2 linked regions of the Mytilus edulis genome follow. The protein of the gene in region 2 interacts with the protein of the main gene of each other region in a pairwise test. Links are inferred from orthologs where the notes say so. Each region holds a gene or a part of one and is shown on either strand. Other genes may lie near its edges.

Region 1 (16,870 bases), on a different chromosome or scaffold from region 2:
GAATAGTTTGTCTTTGATCACCTGAGACATAAGTCCATGAAGAGATTCCATAGTTGTTTTGCACCTGAAAAATAATAAACAAATAATATTAAATAATGTTTAAACAAAATTTTAATTATAACTCAGATTATTCCTTTTATGCCATGACAAAATAAAAATCCATTCCTTCTTTTTTTCAAATTAATATTTAATTTTAAGTTGCAGTAAACCACAATTTATTCAACTGATATCATTTAAAATTACATAATCCTCTAGACCATTCAAGCATAGGATTAAATATCCCAATTGTTAAAAGGGACATCATAATGTTAGGACTACATACAGGAATTGTCAAATATGACATTTTTGATCATGAATAACAAGTTATTCTAAATACTATAATCTGGCTCTGCCAATCTGATTTAAAAAAATAAATGAAGAATTGGACACAGATGATGTTCCCCCTAGCATATAACATAATAAACGGACATAACTCAAGAACAGTAAAAAATTCATTCTTGATCTGAGTTTTGTTGTAATAAGCATTGTGTATAAGTTTCATAACATTCCATTGAATCAAACTTAAATTACAGAAACAAAAAATTCTGCAATTTTTCCTTTTGTAAAGACTAAAGGGGCATAATTCTAGAAAGGTAAAAGTGAGGTCACCCAAATTCAAACTTGATCTGTGTTCTGTGGTATTAAGCATTGTGTATAAGATTCACAACAATTGATAGAGGGTAACAAAAGTAAGAGAGTGTTAACAAATTTCAGAACAAATGGACAAACTGATGTAAAAACAGAAGTACAGATGGACAAGGGTAAAACTGAATGCCCCTTCAACTACAGTGTGGTCATAAAAGTTTGCACAATAATATTTTATATAAAGATACTAAAACAGAATAAATTATTTTACAATCTAGCCAAAAAATATGGCACATCAATGGATAACTATCATCACAGTCAGGATGAGAGTCCCAAAGGGTTTCTTTTATAGGATGGTGAATCTTTAACATTAATAGAAGTAAACATAAAAGTAATGCTTTATAATATTACATACCCATCCTTTGTTGCCTTTGCCAGTTTATCTTCAGATTTCCTTTCATGATTCTCCATCCCTAACATGAACCCTCCTCTCCCTAACTGTGCCTCTGATTGCTCTAATTTATCAGCCAAGTCAAACACCTGTCCTGTGGTATATTCACTATTCTATTTAAAATAGATATTAACTGTTATCATGTGATAATGGTAATTTTGATATTAATCATGATTTTTAAAAAATGAAATTAGACAGGTAAAAATTTGTTATGTTGTAACCTAGTCAGTCCGAATGTCTCACACAAACGAAAATTGGACTAATGATAATGTATTTTGAACTGACAAATTTTCAAAATTGATAGCAAATTAAAGGAAGCTCTAATTTTTGGTTCCTGAGAAAAATGTGACAATTTCGTGGGTCAGAAGTACAAATGGAAGGTCAGTACGGAAAGACGATAAGACAGAGGTAAAACAATATAACTCTCCTCTTTAGCAGGAAAATAACAACACACTTGAATAATAAAAGTGACATTGCAATTAAGGACACACTCAGTTTATGATAACATTTAAATGCAACTTACTGTGAGAAGACTTGAAGAACTGAGTGTATTAACCCAGTATTTATTCCACAGTGACTCTAATAACTTTCTATCTAATGATGATTTGAAGTAGGAAATATCTAATGAAAAATACCTGAAATTAAAAATAAACTTTGTATAAAGATAATTTAAAACATATTGTGACAAAGATATCTGTGTACTTCCTTATAAAACGATTTTTTTTTTTTAGATAATTGTGACACACTAGAATTTGAACTTAAGAGAAGTTCTAAATTATAACCTTTCAAGATTTTAGAACAACTTTTCATATAATCATAAAATTGTTATTCCTCTCTTCACATTGCTGATGAAGACAGTTTGATAAAATATAATGGATTAAACATGCTTTTGAAAATTTGTCATCAAAGAAAACTTTGTCAGATATACAAAAAGAGCTTAATTCCAATTTTCTCCTATTCTTGTAACTACATCTTTTTTTTCAAACAAGATGTACTGTAAGATAATAAAATTATACCCCTGCATATATAAAGAATGTATAACTTGTTATTGCTGAGAAAAGTGTGAACTAAATTTCATGTATGTGCATGACATTTTAAAGATACAAGTTTCAGGCAAAAAGGAAGCGGCATATTGAAGTAACTGAAAATGTATCACATGGCATGGCATAAACAGATTAAGATTGGTGTCATATATCAAGAACCTATGACATATGTTTGCTGAGAAAATGTGACAGAAATGTATATCTAACAAAAGGATAAACAGAGGTCAACCAATATACCTTTTCTTTTGAGCAGATTGAAAAAATACTTTTCAAAAATTTTAAGATACATAGTAGCAACTTACTGTTTACAGTGTACACCAAAATCTTCTATTTTACTGAGCGGTATAGACTGGTATTCAGATGGACCTTCATCTGGTGGCTTATAACCCTGAAAAAAGACAAATCAATTAATAAGTGAAAAATTTGTAAGGGGAACACAAAATCAAAAACGTTTTATAAAATATTGACAATATGAAATTTCACGAACAACATTATTACCTCTTTGAACATGTAAAATAACAAAATTTTATTTCAAATCATTTGAATCTGTTTAAATTTTCTATTTTCTATTCATTAATTCTTGATACAAAAGAGCATTGCATTCTTGTTAACACTTTTTTCAATAGTTTTGTTTTGTTACTGATTTTTTTTCCTAGGTTGCATTTGTCATTCAAACATCACAAAGCATAGTTAGACTAACAATTCTTATGATATTAAAAAAATATACATATGTACCTATCTTTTAGTGTCTTATTATGAATATATATTTTCAAAATATTTCTTTTTGTTTTAGCACAATTGCAGGTTAAATGAAAATCTACACTTTGCGTCTTTATTTCATATCATCTCACATTGTCTACAGTACATTCAACCTGAAAATAGTCTTTTTTAGGAATATGATCATTATACTGAGTATGTATTTATTTTCAATAACGATAAAATATTTGTTTATGACAATTAAGTATTACCTTTGGGTATGTCCTGAATGCACCAATGTTGACTTTTCCTGCTGAAATAGTTCTAACTGGATCTATCTGTTGAAATAAATAAAGATGAGAATCAGTCACAAGTTTGCTTTCTCATAATTTGTAAACTCATTGTAATTATAATTGGTTACCTTTGTCACAAAACCATAGGTGTTTTGTAGTTTGAAGTGTGTGCAATAGTATGTGTTTGTGTGTATTACAGATATAATTGTGTGCAATAGTATGTGTTTGTGTGTATTACAGCTATAAGTGTGTGCAATAGCATGTGTTGGTGTGTATTACAGCCTATATGGTTTATCTTATGTGAAAGCAGTTACAACAACACTTTAGGGATTGATGCATTTATTTAATGAGATGGAGATGTTTTGGAACCTTTCTTTTATATGTTTAAAATCTTCAAAAGAGCAAACCACTAATCATCTAGCTATATATTGATTATTTTCAAAGCTGATTTTATGAAAATCGGATTTTAAGAAATACAATCAAAACTTTAGGAAAACTATATGTTTTATATGATATTCAATATATTAACAAATATAGATCATGAATACTGAATATATATGATACTATTCAGTTTTCACATAAAAGTTGGCACAATAATATTTTATACAAAGGTACTTGCACAGAATAAAATATATAACAATCCTGCCAAAAAGAAAAATGTAGCACATCAATGGTAACTATCATCACAGTCAGGATGCAAGTCCCAAAGGTTTTTTTTATAGGATGAAGGTAATTAAAATAATGATGTTACCACAATAGCAACAAAAGGTTCCTGAAACTGTTGATTCAACATCTGTGTACTGACGTCTATACCAGATAACCAACAACCATATCCTGGATGGCTGTGATACCATCCTACAGCATTCTCTAATCTCCCAACCTGTAATGTATACAATCAAATATATAACATAACTACCATGACTACTTTAAGGATCTTACAGAATATTTTGAAACACCCTTAACTGAGTTGCAACTTTATACACATTGAAATATCAAAATATTGTTCATTTATTGCCTGTTATTAAAACTATCTGCAACTCTAGATCTCTTAGGGTTGTTCAATAAATTTCCAAAGATGCAATATTAAAATTAGACCGTTAAAAGCAGTTTAAAATCAAAGATTATATATATATATATATATGGATTTTATCTATACAAATTAGAGAACCAAGGTCCAAATGTTATTTTTACTTTTGTCCAATTAATAATTTGATTCCTGAATTAAAAGTTAAAATTCAAAAAACCTTATCACAAATTAACATAAGCAATAAAACTATATAGAGCAACATGGAATAGAATTGGAGATCAACATAAAAGACTGACAGACCATCACCAAACAATGTACAATAACCTCATTTACAGAACACAGGTAGGTAACTATTATAGCTTTTCTCATATATTTATATTGTATAATATCATGTGCTAGTCCCAATGTGGAAGTTTTTTGGGTTAATGATCAAGATCAAAGCAAATATCCCAAAGAGTTCATATTGTCACATGGTCAAATAAAAGCAACATCCTTATTATTGGTTACCTGTTTAGCAGATTCTGTGTAAGCAGCCATGTATTCATAGGCTTGTGACTGGGCATTAACTCTGGTTTCTGTCCCTTCTACAGGCAGTGCAAAACTGTCCATTACAATCATTGTGCTGCCATCTACTTTCCCCAGCAGGAGGCCCATGATTTCAAGATTACCTCCTGACCGGGCATGCATCACCATTTTAAGTAAAGCTAGGGCTGAAACTTTGATGTGTTTGAAGTAGTGTGGACTGAAAATAAAAAAGGTAGGTAGACATTTATAATGTTAACTTGTATTCTTTTATAAACATGTTGAGGACTTGTGTTGGACCATTTACATTATAAAATAAGATGCAGTATAATTGTTTGAATGACTGGTACCTTGAGGATTACCCTAGTATATAGGGCTTTTGATCTGCTGATTTATTTCAGTATAATGTTGACACAGAGATATGTCTTGCCTGTGTGTAATTTTGATAGTACAAATGTATATTGGAAATTCTGAAATTTATTTAAAGTCAATGAACATGATGAACAATAACTGGGAAGGCAGGGTCAAATAATATCTATGGAAATGAAATATGCTGAAACTAATAAAACTGTATACCAAATATCACAAACAATTGTTGACACTGCCGACACCAGAAACAGTACACAGTGAATTGGTTGAATTAAAAATATGAAAAAAACACTATGCACTGAGGTGGATATCTCTGACTGAAACACTACAAATTATTTTCAGAGGCCACACTGTCACTGCCAGGGCTATGTTGCCAATTTCAAATTTTATCTGTCTCACATTTTCTAGTCTACACTTGACAATTCTGCATCTGATAAAAATATATTCCTATAGCATTTGAAACATTTGCAACCTGAATCAAAAGCTTACTCATATGCACATATGAAAATAGGAAATCAAACAAAATTTTTCATTCGTGGCATTTCTTGTCAAAATAAATAAAAAATATGACTTTCATTTCTTTACACATTATAAGCAAGAACTCCAAATATGCTCCTTTTTGTCAGTTATCAGTAGTCAATTGCTTTTTAAAATGTAATTAAAAGTTTTAAATAGCTTATTGTTAGCAAGCAATATGAGTGAGGTGCAGCATGCTTCATGTGAAAGTGAACGAAGTCTGTATTTTGAACAATGTGTGTGCTTCATGTGAAAGAGAACAAAGTCTGTATTTTGAACAATGTATCTCTTTAAAATAATATTCTATTTTTTTATTTAAATATATAAAATAACTATGAATTTTATTCCTAATTCCACAAACAATGACAAATTCAGTATTTTACTTGGTCATTGATGTAATGACATTACAAAACCAATCATAATGACATTGTTACATTTAGTTATACATTTAATGGAAAATACTCTACATTATTGTCTTCTTGGTTAAATCCTGAACAATATTATGTAATCAGGTTAACACAAGAGTTATAAGGTCTCACACAAAAATGTCAACAAAAACATTCCAAATGTTTATAATACACCTTACAGTCATTCCCAAAAAATGGGTACAATTCGAATGTAGACACTGTTAAAAAATAAATTTCAACTGAGCAGAGAGAGAGTGTTGTTTTCTTCTGTGTCTATATCTAGTCTGTCATTTTTTTAATTTTTACTTACACCATTTTAGTTGTTTTCTAGTTTTAGCATTTTTTGTAAGACAAGGTAAGTATGAACGTATCGGAGGTTAGTGTTGTATAAAGTCATCTTAAAAATTGTATTAGAGAAAAACACAAGATTTAAATCCAGGCTCATGTGAAATGGGTTACGTTTACCACCATAGCAAACTGATTTATACGTATTATTCTGTATATATATACCAATTTTAAGGTCTGAATTAATATAGTGTTTAAAAAATAATTCAAATAAGTAGTTTTCACAACTTATTTAGTAATAAATTTAAACTAATGAAATGTTATGCTGTATAATATTTTAGTTTCATAATACAGCTTTCCAGGAAAAACCCTATTATTTATGTTTTGAATCACTTGTATGTATTTTTTATGCTTGTATTAATCCACACCCCCATCTTTGTTACGGAGGTTGATATCAAACCAGTATCTGAATGCTGATACATAGTAACACTTAACTCTTTAATGCTAGCTTTTCTAAACAATTTATTGACATTTCAAACTAAAAAAACTGTTTTCTATCAAGTTATATGTTTCTTTTAGTCAAATGAACTTGTTCTTGTCAAAATCTCCGTAACGATTCATGAACTTTCACTCAAAAATATGTTTTACCTAAACCGAATATTTTTCAACTTAATTTATTAGCTCTATACAGATAATGTCATCTTCCTTCACACCATAATGTATGTATTATACTCAACTATGAAGTTTTGGAGTCAAAATAGTTTCATTTCGAAAATTTCTATCCTCCGTAACGACATTTAAAACCTCCATAACGGACAATTCCAGTTCTTACCAACAGCAAACATATAAATGAATGTAAATATTGGAATTAAATGACAAACAAGACAACAGAATTAAACATTTTTCTTAGTAAATCGTTATCTAAAAAGAGAAAAGTCCTGTTAGAGAAAAAAAACTTTTTTTCCTTAAATTTCTATCCTCCGTAACGTAAATCAATGATGTCGTAGATATGATTGACATCACCTTTTGATATTTATTAGTGATAATTGATGAACTGATTTGGTATCTATAACAATGTAGAAGAATTTCAATTGGTATGATCGTGTTTACATGCATCTTTAGATTTTTTTATTTGCATAACCTCCGTTACATTGATGAGTCCTAAATAATCTTGAAAATGTTTGCCATAAACCGCTGTTAAAGTTATGATTGTCGTCGTAATTACACAAATTGTGTTGTAGACTATTTTAAATCTAAGAAAATGGCTGATATAACGTTTATTAAACGTTATAATGTTGTTCACATAATAGGGAAAAAACAAGTTAACCTACCTTTCTCAAAACAACATTTTTTTTCTCAAAATCTGTATTTTGTTTGTCTGTTTTCTTTATAATAAATGATGTCTGCTACAAAAATGACTTTCGGCAGTGTCGGCAGCCGCTGATACTGATAAAAAAGTCTGACAACTTAACTGTAAATAACTGCGTCACGGAGGTTATTTAAACGGAGGTTAGTTTTATTTACATTATACATGGAAATATGTAACAATATTGTTGAGTTGCTTTCTCAAAACTGATTATTGAGAAGCTTTATGGGTGCTTTCAATGAAATAATCATCATTTTGATTTGTTCTTGGTAAGTGCGTTCCAAAATACGCGTTACGTAGGTTGGATTCTTATATGCGACAATCGAAAAAAAGAGAAAGAGAAGATTTTTTTTAATTTTTCGTTTCATTGCACTAAAAGTTAAAGGCAGGATTTTAAAATTTGATGTATCAACTTTGCTTAAAGTCACTTTGGGCATGATTTCCAATCATATAAATATGTTTTGACTGTACCTAAAGATTCGTTACGGTAGGTTATACGTTTATCGGCGACATTGGTTTAATGGGTAAATCAAAGTGTATATTATAACTTTTGATTCTAAAATATTTTTGTGGATAAAAATCAATATAGTGTCAAATAAAAAAAGCAAATCTAATCATGATTTAGATGAAATAAAGTATTTTAATTCACACCGATATTTGGAGTTTTTCTTGGCGACATTCGGAATTCGTGTGATTTCCGTATATTGAATAGAAAATCACACAAATATATTTCTGATATACATCACAAAAGAATATGATTTTATTTTAGTATACATATTAATCACTTAGAACACGAAAAAGATTATCTGTGACATATGTTAAGCTTGCATTTTGTGGTTATTTGCCGGCGACACTGAAATTTTGTAATTGTACCCATTTTTTGGGAATGACTGCTTAACACTATAATACACCTTAATACAAACATATCATTGTTTGTGAGTGAATTGGTCAAGTTTATACACCAATAAATTCCTTTAAAAAGGCGTTTAATCCTGATAATAGTTTAAGTGTCACCAATATTCTCAGGTCAAGTGTCGCAGATTCCCGAAAAAAAACCCATAAGGTCCATTCTGTTATGCAGTCTATATATACATGATATATATAGAGTGTAAGGAAAATAAGACACTAGCAAGTTTTTAGGAAGCTTTATGATTTTCATTCAAAGTATGGTTTTATCATGTTTATATATATCTAAAATCAAATTATTCTGAAATTGAAAAAGAGATGAATATCAGCATGTTTATGATTAAATCTGCATTGTTCATCACTAAAATTTCCACAGTTTAATAAACTATTACTGGCTGACTTGAAGAATTTTTAACAGACTATTGACAATTACTCTTTATCCCATGGCTTTGCTGTAAGAATATCTTGTTGTTGTCTCTTGTCGTATCTGTATATTTCGTCCATACTGTTAACGTTCTCAACATTGTTTGACATTTCCCAAGTTTTAAATGCATTTTTCGCATCCATGATTATTTTTTTTAAGATTCTTGATTCTGGATTCTGATGTCAATTCAGAAACAAGGAACCATACAAAAGTCACAACATACTGGTTCAAAATTGTATATTTCTGATTTCCGTACGTTATACGGTATGTGAATTAATGTCTATTGAGATTGTTTTCTTATGATACCATTTAAGATAAAGTTAAACTACCATTATTTCAAACAACAAATCGCCACAACGAAATATAACAAAAGAATGTGTCATTCTGAATTAATTTGACAGTTAATCCCTTCGTAAAGTTTGGACAATCACATCACATGGGTATAAAAGATAAAGATATTTTATTTCCTAATCATAGGGCTCATAACAAGCATGTAATCATATACAGTAAAAATAAAAAGCCTTTCTCTCCCACTCGCATAGTGTTACACTCACACATACAACCATTTTATTTGTGCTTTTGTGTTTTTATCTCATAATTGCATGTATCAGTATGTGTTTAACTTATAAGATGCTTAACAAACTTTTGTGCTGCATGTTTATATACTGATATGAACTCTTGCTTTATATGTTTAATGTTTGTGTGCATGACTCGATATGTATGTTTTGTTTTACTTGTTGTTATGTCGGTTTTAAAAGCTCTTCAGATCTTTATTGTAATTGCTTGCTTATACCGACTCTAAATAAAGCTTTATGTCGTATGTCTAACTATCGTTCTGATTAAGGATGATTGATTTAACAGTACAACATGTAAATGAAAAATAAAATACAGATAAAAATACAGACACAAATGTATTTTTATTTTTTTTATGAGGAGTGTCAGTTGCCTACATTGTATATAAGATAAGATAAGATAAGAATTTTATTAATCTAATCAAGAACCCATAAAGGGCATCATTTTACAACACAATATGATTGGAAAAAGCAAAACAGAAAACTAATACCATACTATAACGTTATTGACAGGATCAGAGCCTGACACAACATGTGTCTTATATAACTATTATATTAAATGTTATAACAATAAAATATTATATTATTTCATATATTTTGTTTACATCTGGATCTTATTTCTAAACCTTTAATAATGTAATTTCCTAGGCACGTGAGAGTTAGTATATATAAAGTTATTGCTAATAGAGTCTGTATATAAATAAATTTGGTGTTTTTACTGTCTTCTGATTGGTTAAAATTATTAGTTTTATTTTCAATGTTGTCAATTTTCATGGTGACACGCCCACTCTGACATTGTGTATTCATACGCCATGTGTGTACGTTGTTATTGTTAATATAAAGAGTTCTTTGAGCCTAATTTTTTTTTATAGAAATTTATTTATAATGAATGGCAATAATTTATTTTGATTTTATTGAACCATAAAACTAATTTTTGACTCTTCACATTTTACATAATCCGCTTCGCGGATTATTCAATGTGAAGAGTCAAAAATTAGTTTTATGGTTCAATAAATTCAAAATGGATAATAGCCATTCATTAAATAATATCTGATTTGTACAAATTATAAACTTAAACTTTAATTAGTTTTCGAGTTTTGTCAAGAGCATAATACATTGGAACCAACTGAAAGACAATATTGTATGCGCAAATCGAGGCCCAAATACGGTTGAGAGATTCACGGCGGCAGCTCTCAAACACCGTCAACATGGTCAATAGGTCTCTCTTGTCTGTTGAATAAAAGCCAGAATTATCCGGTTCCTTACCTGGAAGAAGAAGAAGAACCTCATCTAGACCCTTATATATATCTTTATAAAAAATTTACTCCGGATTTCTCCGGATAACTAGGAAACCCAACTTAAGCAAATCAATACTTTATTACACATGTTACAACAAATATCTTTGATGAGTTTTTATTTCAGTCAAACATACTCTGACCATTAACATTTGTCCATGTGAAATGACATGAGCCAGTCTTTCTCCCATTTTATAGCTGTTACTTTCACGGTCTTCCTGAAGCTTTATTCAATCGTTTTGGCAAGTAATAGGCCGGTAAATAATCCTGTCATCTGCTTAGAGTCTTATCTGGCTGTGTTTTATGTAGTCAGGTAAGTCGTTAATACAAATGAGAATAATGTATTGGATTTTTTTTCAGATGTTGAGTTTTTGAGTAACTAACTAACTAACTAACTAATTTTATTCAGTATAAAATCCAGTACAAAAGGATCATCGGCTGAAACACATGAACACATATAAAAACATATACAAAACAAAACAACAATAAAACATAACAGCCAACAATTTTGACACTTATAATAAGCAAGAGACAAAACTCACACTTCAATATTATGAAATTATTCCCACTGAAGAATATCTAATCAAAATACATTCCCCATTTCCATTCTCAATTTTAGTCTATATATATAAGAAATCTGTTGAGAACACCAGTCTCCGAACAGTTCATTAAATATTTAAATTTATCAAAATTATCTAAATTACAAAAACATGGTATGATATTGACAATGTCATCATAAAACCTTTCTCTCTCGTCTTGATAGAGGTTGCATTCACATATAAAATGAAACTCATCTTCAATTTTGTTATCAATACAATGTTTACATATTCTTTGATCCAAAGGTGTATCATTATATCTGCCTTTTTCAATGTGTAAATTGTGGTTAGAAATTCTTAATTTTACATAATTGTCTAATATATAGTTTCGAGATATTTAACTTTGTATAAGTCTCAGGTTTATATTCCTTTTTAACTTGTAATATGTGCGTAGTTTGTTTTGCTTTTCACCTGACAAACATGAGAAAAAATAATTGCCATATCTTTCTTGTAATATCGTTTTCACTGCAGATATGAGTTTTCCTTCTGACATAGTTCCTTTATTATTCCAAACATGGTCAAAACGAATGAATTTTAGAAACTGAAAAATGTGTTTATTTAAGGTACATGGAAAGGTACAATCAACATCTTCGATTGACTTATATGCTAATTTTGAAAAATTCAAAAGAGGGTCTTTATACAAATATAGCCAGTATTTAAGAGACTGCAAAATAACAAATATAGAGATTGGATAACGACCAAGTTCTGCCATACTGGCAATATTAGAAGCATATTTAGTGACTGTTTGAGAAATGATTTAATCCATTGAGTTGGTTGATCTGAAATGTCGTATTATAGTGTTTAATCTGTAAAGTAAGTGTGTGTGTGGCACTTTATCAAATGCTTTGAAAAAATCCACAATTACTAGATTAGTTTGTATATTTCTATCATTGTTTTGAGCTAGTTTGGTGTATAAGAGATATTAATTATGATTCACATGATCTTTTTGCTCTGGGTCCGTGTTGTAGTTCATTTAGTATTTTATTTGTTTCAAGACGGTGTTTCATCATGTTACTAGCTAGTATTAGTTCAAGTTATTTACATGAAATGCAGGCAGGTGGTTACCCCTAGATATTTTGTTGTTGTTACATGTTCTAAAGAATGACTGTAGAATAATGACTGTTTTTTTGTCACGGTTTTTTTTAATTTCTGGTTACTGAAATAACATTACATTTGTCTGGGTGGAATGCCATTTTCCACGTAGTTTCCCATGATGTCAATTTGTCAAGATCTTTTTGTAATAGAGATGCATCAGAATTTCATTTCCAATTTAACTATGGTGTCATCTGCAAATAACCGCACTGTAAGACCAGTTGGGATATCGTTTATGTAGTGCAGGAAAAGACCGTGTCCAAGATCTGACCCCTGTGACTCGACTATGTCTCTGCCTGGAACAAATTTTGTTTTAACTGACTTCACACATCATGATGGTAAGTATCGGTGCAAATTATGTGAAAGTTCTTTTTTAAGTCTTGGTTTAAACAGAGACATATATACATGTGTATATATGTCTCTGGTTTAAATTATTTATGATCTGGTCCTGCTACTTTGATTTAACAAGGATTTGTATAGTAAGTCTTACTATACAAATCCTTGGATTTAAGTTTTTGTTTAAGTTTTAGTACACCTTCTGTTTTATGAATAATTTTGATGCAGTGATAGAATCTTTATATTCTCTCTCTCGTGCCGTTTTTACAAATAGTTTGAAACGTATCCGGTGGGATTTTCATTTAAAAAAAATAACATTAGTTGTTGTATGTTGTCCTTTATATGTGTTTTATGTTATTAGACATTCCTTATATAGTTCTGTACGGACATATTCTGTAAATAACTTAATCTATTTTGGACTGAAAAGGGTACCAGAATATATCGTCGGCATTTGGTCACGTGATTTGAATGGTGGACAACTGTTACAGGTGTTCCGTATTCCAACGAAACATTTGTTCATCAACAGAAATAACTTAACCTTTCTATTTGATATGTCGATTGATTGGCATAATGCGTAAAGGCAACAGGCCAAACGAAATGTTCCTTACAAGAGCTCTCGAGAAAATCTTGAGCGACAAAGAAATAAAAAAAGCTCATCACTCCCAACTGAAAAAAGCCTGTGAGGTGGCACTAGGTAAGTGAATCACATCATGAATTCTATTTCGGGTCATTTAACGTCTACGATGCTTATTTGTTATGATGGTTGAAAAAAAATTATCCGTAATTTTATGCATAGCAAAGGTTTTATAGTCTGTCTGATGAGTGATGTCTGATGACAGATGTGAGTGTACAAAAAAAATGTATACACTACAGGCAAATTTTGTTTTGAACCCAGTATTTCTGACCAATTGAAGAAAATTTACCAAAATGATATCCCATAAATACCATTTATTTTTTATTTGAGGCAGGTGCTACCTAATAAGTCATAGGATTTTACTTGTCTGTGACATCATCATGTACTTCTGATCATGTTGATCAATAGGTCATATCTGGAATCATGTCTTTCACCGGAAAAGATCGTCAATTTCGAACACCTTAATGACGTCATTTACCAGATAGAAGGCGCGCCTGTATCCCTGTTCTATTAAAAGTTTCCAGCACTTTCATAAACGTCAGTCTGTAGGGTAGTATAGAAATAATTAATGTTCCGTAAGTACATAATCGTGATTGCTGTATGAATGAGGGAGGATTTTTAATTTCCAAAATATTTTGTGCAGAATAAAATAATTTTTTTTTACCCGTTTGCTCAACATGTTTGAAATTTCTATGCATACATTTTTGTCAAGTGGTGATGGAAGTCACATGACAGATTCGTCTGAAAACCGTATCCCGGAACTGGCCTATAGACGTATTTACACTTGTATGCAAATTTGGCTTGTCTGGTTGTGGCTCAAGGCTGGTGCTACCTCGCAACTTGGAGATGGAAATCGCTTTCCCGTCTGTCACTACATTCACTTTTCCTACTGTCAAAAGCAATATTTTGTTGCCTGAGTGTTCACAACAGTCTCTTTTCTTATCAGCAATATTCCATATTTACATAGTCGATGATTATAAATAAAGAAATTTAAAGGCGGACAATTTATTTCTATAAAAAAGAGGCAAAGCATTGACATTAGAAATTGGTCCCATGTTATTTCTAAGAAAAACAAGTTTTTTTGAAGTACTTTTCTTTCACTTGCAGTTCTTGCTACTCAAGAGCATACATTAAAACATTCTGATTTTCAGAATATTAATCTATATAAGAATGTGATGACAATTACTTTTAATGTTCTATTTATGTTTCAGATCAACTAAAGAAAGAAAGCAGTGTTCAAAGGTAACATTAATTAAGTTTTTATGTTATTGTAATTACTTTTATTGCCATTTGCCAATATCTTGTGCCTCAAAGACTTGCAAGTTTTATTTATTTGTATATTACCATTTAAAGACTAAAATGGTCTTTGACTGCATCATACATATTATATTCTGCATTTAAACACATAGAACAGATATTGCTGGGTTTTGAAAGGTTGTTTTTCCATGGGGAGTGGGGTGAAGATATCAGGAATCAAGAAATGGTTTGCTAGATATGCGGAAAACAATGGAAAAGGACAGTACAAGTTTTTGTTGTTTGCAAAATAATAATTATGCAGTTTTGATATTCACACTAAACATATTCATTGTATATTGTTGCGAAATTTTCCTCAAGAAATCTACAAAATTAATAAATCATAAAAAAAATCACTTATAGTTTAGAATTCAGTGACAAAAGTTTTTATTACCATAAAATTCATATAGATGTATGTATAATAAGTATGATTAAAAAAACAAAGAGAAACTTGAAACATTGTTCAAAAATATAAGTTGTTGTTTATATTTTAGTGAAGACCAGTCATCATCAGCGTTACCTACACCTAAACAAGCTGGTTTTGTGGAAGCAGATAAATACTTCTTACCATTTGAACTAGCATGTCAATCCAAATGCTTCAGGATTGTAAATGTAGCACTAGACTGCTTACAGGTAAGCTAGCATTCTGTACAATATTGTGAGAATTATTCACCATTTTTATTGCTGACAAAAAGTTTTGTTTCATGAAAAAAGCACACAGAGAAGTTCTCTCTTGTTTTATTTTTTCTTCATTGCCATGTGACACACCAATATACTTTGAATTTGATATTTTCTGCCAAATCCTTTTAGGATTGTGAGATGTAAAGCTCTCATGATTATTTTTTAAATCCTTCAGAAGTTGACTGCGTTAGTATAACAGGGGTTTTGGCACTTGTTCCAGTCATTTGAAATTTTATCCCAAAGTCAAATGTTTCAGTTGTTACTATGCAAAAGTGACATAATTCTAAGAAATTTAATGGAGGAAAGAAGCAGGGCTTCCAAAAAATATTTGAGCCAGCCGGACATTTCATATCTGATTCCGATTTTAATTCCTTAAGACTTGGTCACAAAGGCAATTATGGTAATCAGATGGCCATTCCAATGATTGACATTGCATAAAAAAAAACGATTTTAAACTTTACTTTGATATGATATGAATTTGATGTTCGGATGTAACTGTTAAATTGGCAGTGCATCATTCAAAGTGTGCACATCAGCTTGCTCATATCTGCCTTAGACTTTTTATTTGTGCAAAATGACATTGTCAAATCTTTAGTTTCGTTTTCACATTGTTCTAACCGGATGTTGACTTGACAATGGTAAAACATGGACCATAAACGGATACGTAAAATCCCTGAATGTTTACAAAGCACGACTAAGTGAAGAAGCTCTTTCCATGTTATTTCTTCAACAAAATACTTGAAATGAACGTTAGATACAGGTATCGATGATAATTTTAGCATTTTTGAAGAAATGTAGGATGCATAATTAAATTTCCCACCTGTGCACATGCGCACACATGTTCTAGTTCATACGACGTAGTTCTGACGATTTTTCATTTAAAACCTTTTTAAATTTTTCATCAAATCATGTTGATAAACTAATTTCTAATAATTTTAATCTTTTGGACTAAATCAATAAGAAACAAACCGCTGAAAAGTAAGAAAAAAATTGTGAATAGACCGATCAATTTATACGATGTCTGGTACTGAACATAGTTCACCTGTCACCTGAACAGGTAGATTTCAGCTGTCCAACTACTAATTAGCCTTGATTAAAATTAGAAAGTATTGGATTAGGTGTTGTTTTGATAGTAATTAATCATCATGTCACATTTATGACCGGAAATGTGTTTATGTTAATGGCAAAAAGTTTGGGTCAAAAAGATCATGTATAAAATGACCGAAAAAGCCTTGAAAACTAAAAAGTATATGACCGTTTCATGCTTTGCCCAACCGGACTTTTACCGGACATTATACAAATGACCGGAATATATGACCGTTTTGGAAGCCTTGGAAAGAAGTAACTTTTCACTTATGTAAATATTTTTCTGAGATGAAAATGAACTATATTTTGTAACAAAGGTTCTACTAATAATAAGCATTTTGTTCAACTGATGATAG
Region 2 (17,240 bases):
TTTTTTTTAATTATAATCTCTGTCCTGCCTTTTTATTTTTCACTCTATTCGGTCCTGCCTTTTTTTTTATAGTTTATCCCGACTTTTTTTACCTAAATTGTCATCCTGACTTTTTTTTTGCAAGTGTCTCATCCTGCCTTTTTTTTTTAACTCAAAATTCCTGTCCTGCCTATTTTTTTCAAATTTCATCCTAGCCCCCCCATAAAAATCAAATGGTAGCTCCCTAAGGCAACTTTAAAACAGAATGTACAAGTTTCTCATTTTGTTATCCCTGGCCATGGGCTTTGTATAGCTACCTTTTGTATTGGTTTTGCACATTGTTGAAGACTATAGGTGACATGTCAATTCATCTCTTTGTTTACATTCTTTTGGGGTTTCAACACCCTCAGTCAAAGTTAACCTTAGATAATTTTTATTGTTTTTGTACATGTATGTTATTTTTGGTCATTTAGCTTCTTGCATTTCTATAAAAGAGTAATATGTTCACCACGTCAGTCAACTATAAATGACATGTACAACTTTGAGTTACAACTCACCTTCTGTGATCCATTTGAAAGCTTGAGGGGTACATTAAATTTCTAGGGGACGGAGTTGATTTGGGACTTGGAGGTGCCACTAAGGTCTGTTGTGGTGGCATGCTGTTGAGTGGACTTGTGGTTGACATGGCAACTGTGTCATATTCTGACTTCTCTGGTGGAGTCAGTGACCCCATACCCATATGAGGAGGATCTGCAATAAAAAAATAAAATTAATTCTTATTTCTTTTATCTGCAAATTGAGCAGAGAACTATAAAACTGTGAAATTAACAACAGAAATGTGTTTTATTGCTCGTTAAAGTAAAGATAGCCCCCTTTTTAATATTTACTAAAACAGTACAGTGAATCAATACAATAGGTACATGTACCTGTACATCATTTATTTATAACCTATAACACATGATAGACAAATCAATTGTTTATAATAGCAATTACAGACTCTATTGCATCAGCAGTTTGTAAGCCAGAAATAAATGGTGACAAGTATTTTCTAGGATTTAAAAATCAATTAGTTATAAAATCTTTCAATTTTTTTGAGAAAAAAAAAATATTTTTTTACTTTTTGTAATCCTTTAATTTGTCAGATTTTTTCACAGAAATTATTTCATGTTTTCTTTTTTTGGAACAATCCTCTCTAGTTTGCACTGTTCTTAAAATTATGTGCCAGAATTTTAGTTTTCATGTAAAAACAATTACATTATAAGGAAATAAGTATAAACAAAGACATTCTAATTTTTAACCATACTTAACCAAATTAAAAGAAAAATCAATAAACTTTCTTTAAAACAATAATCAAAACTTACTGTCATCTAAAATATAATGAAATTCATCAAACATCATGTCTGAATTATGTGCTAACATACTGAATCCTGCCTGGACCAAATGATCTTTCTGTGATTGGGAGAAAACCTTACTTGGGGTTATCTTAGCTTAGCTTTACTATTGATAATTATAAGTAACACCTGTAATCTGTTGTGCTTTTCCCATACCACTGTTTGTCTTTCCTGAGGCTCAAAAGGGAAAATTACACACTTGTAAGGTTTGTGTCATTTAACCATTGATTATATCTTTAAACTTTTGTAAAAGTGCAAGTATACTTCAATTGATATGTACCAATTTATATAAGAAGGAAGAATTTATCGATTCATTTCTATATATCAAGGGAAATTCAAGTTGGATTTATAATTAAAATTAATTGGTTTAAACACATAAAAATGATGATTTAAAAAATACTTCAAAATGGTAATGTTGGTGGCCATATTGGATTTCCAATCATGTAAATAAAGGTTACAATGTACTAAATCATGGGTGCAGCCATTTTATGAAGGGAACATGACATATAGATAACAAGAGTGCACACGCTGAAATGTCTCGCTTTCTATACTAATCATTGATATTATGTTGATAGTCCTAAGTATAAAGCTAAGCTTAATTACAACTGTCACATAAACTTAACATTAACCAAGATAACTAAACAAAGACCAATGAACCGTGAAAATGAGGTCAAGGTCAGATGAACCATGCCAGACAGACATGTACAGCTAACAATGCTTCTATACAACATATATAGTTGACCTATTGCTTATAGTTTAAGAAAAATAGACCAAAACACAAAAACTTAACACTGTGCAATGAACCGTGAAAATGAGGTCACGATCAAATAAACCTGCGCAACTGACATAAAGATCATAAAATATTTCCATACATCAAATATAGTTGACCTATGGCATATAGTATTAGATAAAAGACCAAAACTCAAAAACTTAACTTTGACCAATGAGGTCAAGGTCAGATGACACCTGAAAGTTGGACATGTACACCTTACAGTCCTTCCATACACCGAATATACTAGCCCTATTGCTTATAGTATCTGAGATATGGACTTGACCACCAAAACTTAACCTTGTTCACTGATCCATGAAATGAGGTCAAGGTCAAGTGAAAACTGTCTGACAAACATGAGGACCTTGCAAGGTACGCACATATCAAATATTGTTATCCTATTACTTATAATAAGAGAGAATTCAACATTACAAAAGCTCTGAACCTTTTTTTCAAGTGGTCACTGAACCATGAAAATAGTTGATTCAAAACGCCATTTAAGGAGATGATTGATAAAAATAGCATTGCTGGCAATGGGGCCAACATTTACTACTTTCTGGAACTAACAGAGCCACCATTTTGAATTCTGATTTTTTTGGGTATACATAATTGTCTCACAAAATAAACATAGTCACATTTTTAGCCTAAAAATCTTCTTTTTGTAAACATTTTATTGAAACCATTTTGAAGCATTTGAAAGTTATAAGTACATCTAGGGATCATATTTGATATTGTGAGTATACGTATGACATCACTTTTTATCTCACTTAGTAACATCCACATTCAAGATCTCAATTTTGATAAGGGTAGTCAGTCTTCCTGTAAAAGGTCAGTGGTTCATTTTCTCAAGATACTCCCAATTTCTCCACAAAAATAAAACAGAGTTCCAATGTCCACCGCATATTGCACTTATTTAATATTTCCGAAGGGGCATAACTCTTTAAAAAGTTGATCGTCCACCATTTAAGAACTTGTCCAAGATGTTGCTGATATTAACCTACAGTATAAGTTTTATAAAAATCTTACAAGAATTGTACTCATGAGAGTTAACTTGGCCACTTTCAATAAATTTAATATTTCCATGGGGCATAACTCTTAAAAAATGTAATCGTCCACCATTTTAAAACATGACTGCAGAGATAGTATACAGTGGCTTTTGCAGTTAAGCTAAACATCCAATACATTCTTCCTCACGTAAAAATTACTTCATAAATTCTGCTACAACTATCATTTATGAACAGTTTAAATAACAGAAAATTAAGCAGAAACAACTGACAAAACTAACATACATGTACATTGTAGCCATCCAATTTACATGATGTTCAAGAAACTATTTAAACCTATGAAACAAATTATCAAAGAGAAACTTGATATCTTGTCGGATATTGTCAACTGATTTGGCCTAAATCATGCTTATAATGATCCTATTCTACAAAGAACCTTCAACTATTTGTTAAATTAATCAATTTCTGCTTGTTAATTTAATTGTGTAAAATAAGGCAGTGCTTGTTTGATTTCCAATCGCTATCAATACTTCTGTTTACATCCCTTATAGATTAATGGTCATTTAACCCACAGAAATATATTTAGGCCAAATATAAAAGATGTGTTTCCTATTACTCCACCTCCTCTATTTTTTAAGCATAGAAATAGCCTACCCTAAATAAAATTTCATTTTTTCAATAAGCACTGTTAAAGTCAGAATTTCTCTTCCATATATAGACTGCAATAAAACAAAATTAAAAAAAAACTCTACCTACCTACATTGTTTGTAACTACTCAATTTTTTTTTTAAAGATGTAATCATGGTAATAGAAAACACACATATTATTTTGTTTGGCCTTATCAGGACATCAACAAATCATAATGAAACAGTTTTATAAAAGATTAAGGCAATCTATAGAAACTATTAGACATTTGTTCTTTAAAAGAACTGGTACTACAAAATGAATGGATTTGCATGGTTACAAGCAACTAATGTATACATTAGTACATGTACATAAGTTTAAATGAAAAAGTCTAATCATTGGATATACAGATTAAAATATGCATCAAGCAGTGTGATCTTTCAAAGCATTTTATTGGGATGATAAAAATCAATTACAGTGCATCAATGAACTGGATCATTTCAGGGAGTTACTATTTAATCCATTAATATTTTGTGCCTTATTTAAGTTCTCATGAAGATTTGAAACATTCCATCTAAATTACATAATGTACACTTAATACTCTGTCGTGACTATCATGTCACTTGTACTATTAACACTTGCATTACATTTTTAACTAAAACTTAGAAGCAACAGAAATTTACTTGTGTTTGAATCTCATAAACCCTTCAATAAGATAAGAAAAAAAAAAGAAAAAAAAATTAATGGAAGCATATGATCTCCAAAAAGTAATAAGATGCATTGACAAGGTTGGTTTCTCTTGGCCTTGCAATGAATATGCAGCACTAGCAATGTAAATCCACAATTAGAAGACTATTTTAAATATTTTAAATTTATTCTGCATATTTGAGACTGTGAAAAATGTCAACTATTCACAAAAGAAATATTAAATATCCAATTACAAATGTACCATGAACTGACCAATTATGTTTTATTCTTTACAAAAATAATAATAGGTTACATTTTTCAGTTATCTCCCTTGGCTTATAACTGTTTAGCTAGAACATAGATTCTTGAATATTGTGGAAACTTTATGCAACTTGTGTAAATGCTTGTTTGAAGAGAATAAAAAGTGTATGAATCAAAAGCAAGACAATTGTGGTGGTAGGGATTAAAAAGCATTTTTTTCAATCTTCACACCAAAAATCATTTCAGTTTTTTGAAATGAGGCATTTCATGGATAAACTTTCCTGAACTAGATTATATAAGGTCCACCAACGGTGCAAGGGCTGTATAGCCAGTCAACGTCACTAAAAACTTCCATTTGATGATATAAGGTCCTGTTTTTATGATTTATAACAAAATGTACAATGGATAACAATAAGGAGTTTAACTGACCTTGTTCCCTATGACTGCCCATAATGGGTGTCCTTTCTCGTTGATATCCTCCATTTTGCACAGATTCACTCTTAATATAACCATTCACATTGATCAATTTACTAGACAAGTCTACGGGATTTTCATACCCGCCTTGAGCCATATGACCATTTAGGTTTCTACGTGTCGAACAGACGTTTTCTTGTCCCTGATACAAATTTTCATCATTTTGTAACATGTATCTTGCATCAGTAAAATGTCCACTGTGTCCATTTTGGGCCTGAGGTGTGCAGTGTTCATAATGTGGGTCTGCCAATGCTTCTATTGTGTATCCATAGCCTGCCTAACAGATATAACATTAAACATGATTAAACAATGTGTATAATCTACCCAAGGGCCAAGGCTCATGCAAGCTTGCGACTTAAGGGCTACAACCTTCATACATTTTGTAATACTAGATACATGTTCATGTACAAATTAAAGAACCTTAGTGAGGACGCTCACATACCCCACGTCCCCACATTGTCATTGGAGAAATTAAATAAGTATAAGAAAAAAAAATTGTATAAGAAAAAATACTGAATAATAATTTCCTGTCAATATACACATCTCCATAGTATGTCCTTATTATCTACAAAATTTCATGAAATTCTGTTGTGTGTTTTCAGAGGAGTTGAGATGACAAACTGTTGCAGAAGTACATTGAAGCAAATAAGTTCAAAGGGGCATAACTCCTAGAAAAAAATTGAATTGTAATTTCCTGTTGATATGCACATCTACGTAGTATGTCCTTATTATCTACAAAGTTTCATGAAATTCTGTTCTGTGGTTTCAGAAGAGTTGAGATGACAAACTGTTGAAGTACAACATGTAGTACATAATGTATCTTAAAGCAAATAAGTTCAAAGAGGCGTACATGTAACTCCTAGAAAAAAATTGAATCGTGATTTCCTGTCGATATGCACATCTACATAGTATGTCCTTATTATCTGAAAAGGTTTCATGAAATTCTGTTATGTAGTTTCAGAGGAGTTGCGATGACAAACTGTTGCAGTAGTACATTGAAGCAAATAAGTTCAAAGGGGCATAACTCCTAGAAAAAAATTGAATTGTAATTTCCTGTTGATATGCACATCTACGTAGTATGTCCTTATTATCTACAAAGTTTCATGAAATTCTGTTCTGTGGTTTCAGAAGAGTTGAGATGACAAACTGTTGAAGTACAACATGTAGTACATAATGTATCTTAAAGCAAATAAGTTCAAAGAGGCGTACATGTAACTCCTAGAAAAAAATTGAATCGTGATTTCCTGTCGATATGCACATCTACATAGTATGTCCTTATTATCTGAAAAGGTTTCATGAAATTCTGTTATGTAGTTTCAGAGGAGTTGCGATGACAAACTGTTGCAGTAGTACATTGAAGCAAATAAGTTCAAAGGGGCGTAACTCCTAAAAATAAAATTGAATCGTAATTTTCTGTCGATATGCACATCTACGTAGTATGTCCTTATTATCTACAAAGTTTCATGAAATTCTGTTCTGTGGTTTCAGAAGAGTTGAGATGACAAACTGTTGAAGTACAACATGTAGTATCTTAAAGCAAATAAGTTCAAAGAGGCGTACATGTAACTCCTAGAAAAAAATTGAATCGTGATTTCCGGTCGATATGCACATCTACATAGTATGTCCTTATTATCTGAAAAGGTTTCATGAAATTCTGTTATGTAGTTTCAGAGGAGTTGCGATGACAAACTGTTGCAGTAGTACATTGAAGCAAATAAGTTCAAAGGGGCGTAACTCCTAAAAATAAAATTGAATCGTAATTTCCTGTCGATATGCACAACTACATAATATGTCCTTTTCATATAAAAAGATTTTGTGAAATTCGGTTGTGTGGTTTGAGAGGAGTTGTGATGACAAGAAACAGGACTGACGGACGAAAGGGTCAAAAACATTATACCCTCCGCAATTGTAATTAACATACTTTTTTATTTAAACAGTCTTATTTTTAGTTTAAGTCAGGAGAATCCTTGATATTAATAAGTTGAAATTAACTTTGACTACATGTAATTAGCTTTCATCAACTATACATGTATGTAAGTACTCTTTCATACGTGTACTTTGCATCTTTTGTCTTTTTGATAGAACATGTACTTCTTACATCTGAGGAATCAAGCCATTTCCAATTGATTTTTTAATTTACAGTTGGTTCTGTTGTGTTGTTGTACATCTTTCTAATTTGATCTCTTCTGTCTCATTGGCAATTGAATTTAGTAGTGTCAGCCCTTTGATTATGACCCGTGTATATAGCAAAATCCTAAATACACCGTTTGGTGGTGCGCCTGTCAAATGCGGAACGTACAGATAAGGTAATATCTAACAGGTGAATATATACTATTGGTATCGGTATCGGATTAGACCCGGAACTTGTTAATTATTGGCAATATTTATAATTATGTGGAAAACAAAAGGGTCTGGAGTGGTGTAATTTTTAATCTACACCATTGTCCTATATTAGTTATATATAGAGTTGAATTCTTTGATTTGTCGTTTTTACCCGATGACGGCTGACAAATTGGACCTCGTAATTTTAGTATTATAGATATCAATGTTCTATGACAAGAAGTTCCTATCAAACTAACTTAATATTGAAAATTGATTATTAATTCAAAAGTTGCTAAACCATGACCATGATAACCTACGGTACAGGGTCTTGAAGTAGTCATCAATATACTGATAGTAAATTTTAAGCAACTTTATAAATATAATGATGTCGACATGTGATAATAGTTCCTATCAAATTTACTCGAGTACAAAACTCTGAAAAAATTGTTGAAAAAGATGACAATTTTCTTCATTTTCTTCGAAAAATCTATCCATACATGTATGTTTGGCTTTCTGCAACTTTAGTTGTAGCAAGACAATAATAGGGTACAAGCGGAATGAGTTGCAAATGTGTGAGTTGTACACAATCTAAAGGAGTGAATAAACCTTAAAACCATTTTTTTCACTCATTTCAGCAAAAGATCACCAGTGCATTATTTTTTTGGTGACCTCAAACTAAAATAACACTAGCTAAAGATGTGAACAGTTTGCATATTTTATAATAACAGTGTGCATTTTTTATTAAGTTTCTTCTTACATAAAACTTACAAGAACATTCTTACATTTTAATTCATCAGAATTATACATGCAAGTTTTTAATATTTTATAAATTTGTAAGCTCCTGTGAAAACTGCATGACTTGGCAAACAAATTTTATTTGTCCAACTATTCTATTGAAAATAAAATTGCCTTTGTATTTAAACTTTAAAATTCAGCCTTTAATTTAAGTAAACAATCTTTTAAATTGTTGATGATTAATCATGTAAATATCAACCACTTGTTACAAAGTATACAAAACCGTGGGAAAAATTCCCACGAGTGTAAACTCATTAGCGGTGTCTGTGAGGTCAACTTCTAAAGGTCAAAACAACTCTGGTGATCATTTCCAATATAAAGAAAACTTTTGATGAAATGATAAAATATTGCACAATATATCAAATCGTATTATTTCTCTTCGTCAGACAAATAAAATTGAACATAATGATTGTAGACTCACCTGGGAAACATATAACTGTTGATTATTCATCTTGAAAATATCGGAAAATGTTCAAAAAGAAATCAATCAGTCAGGTGTTAACTGCATTATAATTCTGAGCACTTGTCCAAATTTGATATATAACACGAGTCAACATAACAAGCTCATCTATAATACGTATCCTTTCATTTGCAATGAGTTACCACTGCTTTTTGTTTTACTCCTAAAAAGAGCCAGATTCAAGTTGTAAATAACCTAGAAGACCCGTGGGAAAACACATTTGCATCTTTGATCGTGAGAACAATGATCAAGGGCTGTTACAATCCACTCCCCCTTATCCACTTTTAGAAAAGGGACCATATGGAGATTAAAATAGTTTTTGGTTACGTTCTATACGTGATAAACTTTTGCAATAAATATTTCATTATCAATTATTCATTATATAAATAAAATATTCCATCAAATCAAATTAAAATAGCAAATTCCGGCATGATAAGCCTTCTGTAAGAAAGTAGGTGCATTAAATTAAACAGCCAATTACAGAGAACGTCGCGTGCCGATTGGCTGTTGACTTTACGATTCTAGCAGGTGTTCCCACGGCATCATTCAATCTAGGACAGTCACAAATTTGCAAACTTCACTGGTGCACCATCGAATGCAGCGTGATAGATGCCACAAACAACGCTATTTGCAGTATAGTGCAGTGTGCGATTAAGCTGATACTGACTGGATAGTTTTCCACTTGAACAAATTACAGTTGAATATTTTGACCTGTTGACCCACTTTCAGAAGTTCCCAAGTGAGCCAACATCCAGGCTTACCAGAATCCATCTAGTATCCAACATTAAAGATCCAAAAATTTGATGACCAGCTTTCATATGGAAGAAATTCTGAACCCAACCACCTTTTCAAGCGTAGTTAAATCTTTAAAATTGTACATACTTATATTGACATTTAATTTAATAGATTTATACATTACCGGTGTTTTTAAACTTTATTATTATTTTTTTCAAGAAAATAATTAAATGCTTTCAAGCTTTAAAACTACTCACCGACAGTTACTGATGCTGTCCTGGATCAAGAGGTCAAAACTTCAGGAAAGTTCATTCAACTTTAACAATACCAAAAAAAATCTAGGTTGATGCTTTTATAGCATATCAATATTCCAAAGTATATTCAATCCATCAGTGTCCTGCATTAATTTAGATGTTATATAAGTTAAAGCAACGGAATAATAAGATGAAATGCAAGTGGGACCCAAGTTTCAGAACTTTGCAAGATGGCGCATATTTGTTGTCAATGGGCATGCCCTATTTTGTACCTCTTATTCTTCTGAGTTGTTTGAAAGTACTCAGTGGGCCAATAAGTATACAATTTAAGACCTTTAAACCAAGAGAACGGAACGACTGTGAACATTTTCTTGGGAAAAAACGCCCAAACACATGTCACTACAAATTTATTATATTCTATGAGCAAATTTATCCCTCATTGAACCCCTGGGAAAATTTGTAGTATTAGAGTCGAGGTTAAGTGTGGCGAGAAAAATGGCGAGAGTTGTTTACAGTTGAAGCAAAAAGCAACACAAAAAAAGAACATTGTGTAATAACCTGCTTGCACTAATTTTGCTATCATGTCTGCAAACGACAATATTATCGCCGATTTAAATGTCAATACCAGCAATTCAAATAAAACCGATTCTGGTGAAATCAATGCTGTAATTACTCGAATTGATGACGCATCGTCAAACCCTGGTAAGTCATGCCACGATTTAGCATAACTTTTGGCTTTATCACTGAAATAGAACATCATTTTTTATACAGAAAACAGACACAAAACTTTTGTTATTGTCTTTTAAAAAAAAGCCAAATGTTGCAAAAAATAAAGTGAAACCACACATATGGACTTTTTGCCAATTTTTGTCAAAATTTAGATCTTCATGCACTTTTTAAAAATTGCATGCCAAAAAGTATATGTTAGTAAAACACTTGTCATTTTTAGTTTTGTAACCAACATGAATACCCTGTCATGTTGTGGTTACCATCTAAAATTAAAATGACGAGTTTTCTATTTTTGTTTAAAACAACATATGTATGTAAGTGATACAAAGCTCCTTAATCTTAACTTATGATATCGTGAAGTCATATGTTTTCATTACTAATCAGTTCTAGATAGCAATGTGCATAGTTAAAATAAAAGTAGGTTCGCGAAATCGCACCTGCATGACGGTATTTTAAGGACAGATTGAGAATAAAAACTTGCTTCAAGCAATCATTAATTTCAACATTTCAAGATTTATGACATTTATAACAGTAAAGATAATATTTTCCGATTTTAGCCTACTTTACGTTATCCCCAAAACAACCCCAACTTCATCCCCTCGGTTCATAAATAGCATAGTTTCAAATGTAAACAAAACTTAGCTCGAAAAGAAGGATAAGTCCACATACGTAATACACAATTGTAAGAATTGGGGCCTAAATTAAAATATTGTTTGTTTGCCCTTTTCCGACCCTATGTTTTGAAACAGGGTAGGTAGGTAGGTAAAATATTTTATTTTTTTCCCCAAAAAAATTACTTGACTCTGTATATTTTTTTACATGGGTAGGCAGGTAGGTATAATATTTTATTTTATAGATACAAAATCTGCATAATGTCATTTTTTGTCTGTTTTGCATTTGCTTATAAGTTTGTGGGACAACGTTTTGAAAAAAAAAATATCATGTAGAATGTGAAGTTAATTCATATGGCTTTTTTTTTGCACTACTATTTTGTTTTCAAATATCAAAATAAAGAGCTGTGTCGCATATTTTCAACGTTCATTTATGCCTGTAACTTTGAAGAGATTTAAATTGCACTAATATTCTGTACTACATACCTTGTGTGCTTACCTCTACCTAAAGGTTTTCTGTAAGAGATTACTTTGTCCAGGTTAAATATGTCCGGGCAGACATACATTACTATAAGAAAAAGTCCCTAGAGTGTTTAAATTTCCGTGTGTGCCCATGTTTCCAATAAAAATGCTACAAAACTTGAACTCAATTGTCACGTATTTTACATCGCATTTATAAATGATTTGTATGGAAAACTTTGGTGATTTTACTGCCAAATATTCTCCACTTTACAGGCTTTTGTCACCTTTGGTTCATGTCAGATATAAATAATATGGCAATGCTGGTCGAAGGCATCGTTAACCATGATAATCATCCTAATCTACGGATCACAAAAGGCCATCCCTACATAAAATACAACGTCCGTTTACACAAAATAGTTTGTACAGACGTTAATAATTTTTTATTAAACAAACTTTTTTGTAAATGAACCCTGCTCTTCAAGTAAAAAGATGCAGAGTTAACGTACGTCATATCATTATTTCAAAGCGTTTAACATCGATTTCAAACAAATGCTTTGAAACTCTATGCATGCTATATGCAAGTGTGCATGTCAAACCCTCACGTGATACCAAACGGACTTGACCTTATACGATAAAGATGAAACCCGAGGATTCCGGTAAAAAAGTTTTGAGCGGGAAATACAAATATAAGATTTTTGGTAGGACGAAAAAATAAAATAAAATCTTGCTGGTAAATGCAAATTAAAGATTTTCAGGCGGAACGAATTTATAGGGTTGGTCGGTAAAGGGCAAACAAACAATATTTTAATTTAAGGTAGCACAATACAAAGATTTTTCATCCCCAATCATACATCTTTAAACTGATGTAATTCCACTCATCTTTCTTTGAATTTTATAAATGAGGTACCAAAAGAAAGAAGAAGGATTAATCTTTCAAATTGTGATAATTTCATTATGACATAATTATTACATCATTAATTGTTATGTAATTAGTTGCCATATTGTGATGTCTATACTTGAATGAATTTAGCTTCTTTGTTTTTCATAGCATCCCAAAATATTTTATAGATTCTTGCACAACACAGTTTGACCTCCAAAACTGTGTCTCAGATTTTTCCTATTGTATTTCATTCTCTCATAAATCTTCAATGAAGTTTGCAACATGAAATCATAAGAGACCACTAAATTCAATTGGGTATAAAATTTGTTCTATTGATGTTTTTGGAAATCTGAGACACAGTTTTGGAGGTCAAGCTGTGTTGTACAAGAATCTATAAAATATTTTGGGATGCTATGAAGAACAAAGAAGCTAAATTCATTCAAGTGTGGACATCACAATATAGCAACTAATTACATAATAATTAATTATGTAATAATTATGTCATAATGAAATTATCACAATTTGAAAGATTAATCTTTCTTCCTTCTTTTGGTACCTCATTTATAAAATATAAAGACGGATAAAATGAATTACATCAGTTTAAAGTTGTCTGATTAGGAGTGACAAAATCTTTGTATTGTGCTACCTTAAGCCTGGTGTGACGTCGCTATGGAAAAAATTCTATGGAACGCAGTTTGTGCCATATCTTATCAACTATAAAATTAATTCAATTAGATTATCGGAAAAGTAATGCCCTTAAATATTGTTTATGAAATTGTTACTGTGACAAAAAATATTTATAACAGCTGTGACAACATCTAATGATAAATAAGGATTGGTTCAATAATTTAAAATCATCTAAAATTAATATTCAATGCATTTTTTTGACCTTTAGTGATGATTCCTTGGATATCAGTTAAAGATGCCTTAATTGATCGATAAGGCTAAAAGTTCATAAAAAAATATGTTTTCTAGAGACAAATGATAGTGAATTGATACTTTTCTTCAATTTGCGTAATTTGAAATCTTCTATTCATATCAAAGTGAAACATGCTCACCATACTATACTTTTCACAACTATCGAGAACTGATCAATGACGTATTGTTCTGACACAATGTCAAAATTGAGCACAACAACAAATGTTTTGATTTTTTCTTGAATTACACTAGAGAAAATTGTGAGGATAATAGGAAATGAATAAAAGTATCTACTAAATTAACACAATCAGCTTTAACAACATTTTTTGAAGAACTGGCCCTATGGAGCAAAAATGTGTTACACTATCGAGAACTGATAACACTAGGATACCACTTATGATACCACTATACTTTTTTAAAATTATAGACCAATTTAAAGTTGATTTTTTTATGCCCCACTTAGGGGCATTATGTTTTTTGATGTGTGCATCTTTCCTTTCGTCAGTCTGGACCACTTTAGGTTCTTGGTTAAAGTTTTTGGTCAAGGTAGTTTTTGATACAGTTGAAGTCCAATCAACTTGAAACTTAGTACACATGTTTCCCTATGATACATGTATGATCGTTCTTAATTTAATGCCAAATTAGAGTTTTGATCCCCTTTTCACAGTCCACTGAACGTAGAAAATGAAAGTGCGCTTCAGGTTCCCTATGACATGATCTTTCTTATATAATGCTAAATTGCCAAATTAATTAGAGTCTTGACCTCAATCATGTGTCAATTACTAATTTATGTTTATTTCATGGAAAGGAATATTCTACAAAACTAAAACCAGAACGAAATATGATTCTGAAACTATTTTATCTTAAATTATTTATATTAAATTATTTTGAGATTGTATATCTAATTGGTCATAGCTAGCCAATTGCAAGATCTCAAAAGATTGACAATGGACGTGTGAACCGGTGAACCCAAAATTAATATAAATGCAATGCACATTTTGTAGGAAAATATAGACAGATATAAATTATTAGCAGGGGTAAAAGTTTTCCCTTGCTTGATTTCATATCATAAATAAAAATTAAATTATTGGTTACATCATTGTTAAACTGTATAAGAATGATTATTTTTTGCAGGCCCACACAAATAATGAAATTAGTTCCCTATTTTCAATTTTCAGGTAATACAGTTTTCAATAACAGAATAACTAGACTTGTTGACCACATGTCCAAAACAACCAATCAAAATACAGAGTACAAATACAAATTAGGGTTAGTTATTGTCTTGCAAGTTAATAATATGTCAGCAATTTTTTTAAGCCATATTTCATTTTGACAAACTAAACGAAGGTGACTGCTGAGTGTGAACTGTTATCTTATATTTCTATCTTGTAACTGTTTGAAACTTGAAAAAACATATTTACTTTTCAGGATCTGATGATGTAGAAGAAATGTGTTTAGGGGATACCACAACAATGGATCAAAGTCAACCAGATGTTTATACTCCTCCAGGAGAAGATAAGTCAGTTTCAAACAGTGACAGTGTAACAGGAGAATCTATGGAAACAGATAAATGGGCGTTGCCATCTACCAAAAGAAATGAAAAGTCTAATGATATTGATAAAGAAACAAACAATAGCAGCAAACAGAATGAAGTGTCTGGAAATGAGGAATTAAAAGTGGAATTACCTCCCTTGAAAAAAGACACCTCTGAGATGTCAGACTCTAAAAATGACTCGCAGATGTCAGATACTAAATATTCAGATTTGTCAAAATTTCAAAGTTCAGAATCAGAAATTTCAAATTCAGAGACAATGTCTGTGAAGTTACCTCCCTTAGAAGGGGACAGAACAGAATCAGAGAAAAATAATGGTGCTACATTACAGGACTCATTAAAACCAGAAACTACAGATTGTGAAAATGAGCGTTCTCAATCTCCAATGGATGACAAATCTAGTTGTGGATCTTTAGAGGGTGTTTATCAAATTAAATGGGCAAAGTTCAAAGGAAAAGAAGTACCTATTATAACACAGAATGAAAATGGACCTTGCCCATTGTTGGCAATCATGAATGTTTTATTATTAAAAGGAAAAATCAAATTTAGTTCTGATACTGAAATAATTTCCTCCGAACAAATGATGGCACATCTAGGTGAATGTATATTTGCCAATAAACCACAGGTAAAATATTAACTGCCAGTCTAAAGAAAGAATCAGGCAATTTTGAAAAAAAATCAAAACATTCCAAAAAAACCAACTAGCAACATAAAATCAACATGTTAATTGACAAAAAATTATTGAATAGGTTAGAATTGGTTAAATTCATTGAGAATAAGAGAAAACGTTATATCATAGCAGGCATATTTATTTGGCAAGTTGATGTTAGAGAGAGAATAACCAATCTAATCTAATCAAGAACCCATAAAGGGCATCATTTAACAACAATATTATGCACAATATTATTGGAAAAAGCAAAACAGAAACCTAATACCATACTATAACTTTATGGGCAGGATCAGAGCCTAACACAACATGTGTCTTACATAACTATTACATGAAATCTCATAATATAATAATAAGATATTATTTCATATATTTTGTTTACATCTGGATCTTATTTCTAAACCTTTAATTATGTAATTTCCTGGCACATGAGAGTTGGTAAATGCTCATTCGTGAAATTATTCTGCCTCATGACTTGAACATTTACATTTGATGTCATTTAGAATTTTTGAAAATTTTTATTTATCATTTTGGTTTATATTTCAGAATGCTACAGAGGTTGTGCAATTAAATTATGAACAGAACATGCAGGATGCCATGGCTGTTATTCATAAACTACAAACAGGGCTTGACGTTAATGTTAGATTTAACAGGTAGGTATGAAATACAAACAGGTCTTGATATTAGTATTAAACTTAATGGGTACCAGTAAGTATGAAATACATGTACAAACTGGTCCCAATGTTAATATTAGATCTAATGGGTACCAGTAAGTATTTCATACAAACTGGTCTGGATGTTAATACAATGTATTAGATTTAATGGGTACCAGTAAGTATGAAATACATATACAAACTGGTACGGATGATAATATTAGATCTAATGGGTACCAGTAAGTATGAAAAGCAAACTGGTATGGATGTTAATGTTAGATCTAAAGGGTACCAGTAAGTCACATAAGTTTGAAATACAAACTGGCCCGAGACCACAATTAATTCCTCTATCAGTTCTTTATAATTTGTCTCATTGAAAAAAATCTACCTGTGTCTTTTGTCAGATCTTTTGTGAGTGTAATGTACTGTACAAGTCCAAAAATATATCCAAGTTTCAGAAAAATTGCTGGTATAGATTTTGCAAATTTAGCCAATACACATCCATACCCCTATGGACAAGTCGAGAGATGTTCCGAAAACTGTAAATATTACTTTTTTGCACCTGGCTTAATCACTCTTTCCATATTAAAATCAGTTAAAATAAAGCATCCAAAAGTTTATTTCAGCTCTCTTCTTTCATTTCCATCCCAAAAAAATTAAGAAATATATGAGAAAGGGAAAGAAAAAAAAATAAAGAAAAAATACACTGTAATTAAAGGGAACTATATTCGTGAACAACGAAAAGCAGGGTCATTAATTGTGGTCTTGGGCCTATTTGGGGCCAAATACTTGACCAATACCAATAAAACTTAGCATGATTTAAGCTTAGTGTATTATGAGTCAGTTTACAAAGTTTCAAAGCCATATGATATATATTAAAGAAAATGTGGCATTTTTTATATCTCAACTTTGGTTGCTGAGTTGTGATGTTGAAATAGAACAATTTCAACTTTCAAATTTTGGCTTCAAAAATGCCACAAAAACAATAAATTGCACTTTTTAATGTCTCAATG

Evidence for each region.
Region 1: the proteins of recombining binding protein suppressor of hairless-like (region 2) and COP9 signalosome complex subunit 5 interact in a two-hybrid assay, tested with the Caenorhabditis elegans proteins (3 studies listed by BioGRID). The link is inferred for Mytilus edulis from reciprocal best matches to the Caenorhabditis elegans genes lag-1 and csn-5.

Annotation. Positions count from the first base shown.
Region 1 is NC_092344.1:10,556,536-10,573,405, reverse strand, and holds the start of COP9 signalosome complex subunit 5, read right to left. Parts: upstream 9,184-16,870; 5' UTR 9,073-9,183; coding exon 8,939-9,072; intron 4,877-8,938; coding exon 4,642-4,876; intron 3,988-4,641; coding exon 3,859-3,987; intron 3,153-3,858; coding exon 3,087-3,152; intron 2,507-3,086; coding exon 2,421-2,506; intron 1,711-2,420; coding exon 1,599-1,710; intron 1,189-1,598; coding exon 1,040-1,188; intron 65-1,039; coding exon 1-64. Other genes in the region: brefeldin A-inhibited guanine nucleotide-exchange protein 1-like, read left to right, coding at 13,391-13,514, 14,666-14,696, 15,242-15,380. UniProt on the Caenorhabditis elegans protein: Probable protease subunit of the COP9 signalosome complex (CSN), a complex involved in various cellular and developmental processes.
Region 2 is NC_092350.1:41,711,651-41,728,890, forward strand, and holds the start of recombining binding protein suppressor of hairless-like, read right to left. Parts: upstream 9,220-17,240; 5' UTR 8,758-9,219; coding exon 8,728-8,757; intron 5,467-8,727; coding exon 5,145-5,466; intron 1,495-5,144; exon of another isoform or gene 1,399-1,494; coding exon of another isoform or gene 1,341-1,398; intron 730-1,340; coding exon 537-729; intron 1-536. Other genes in the region: ubiquitin carboxyl-terminal hydrolase MINDY-1-like, read left to right, coding at 10,337-10,457, 14,784-15,532, 16,121-16,227. UniProt on the Caenorhabditis elegans protein: Transcriptional regulator that plays a central role in lin-12/Notch and glp-1/Notch signaling pathways, involved in cell-cell communication that regulate a broad spectrum of cell-fate determinations.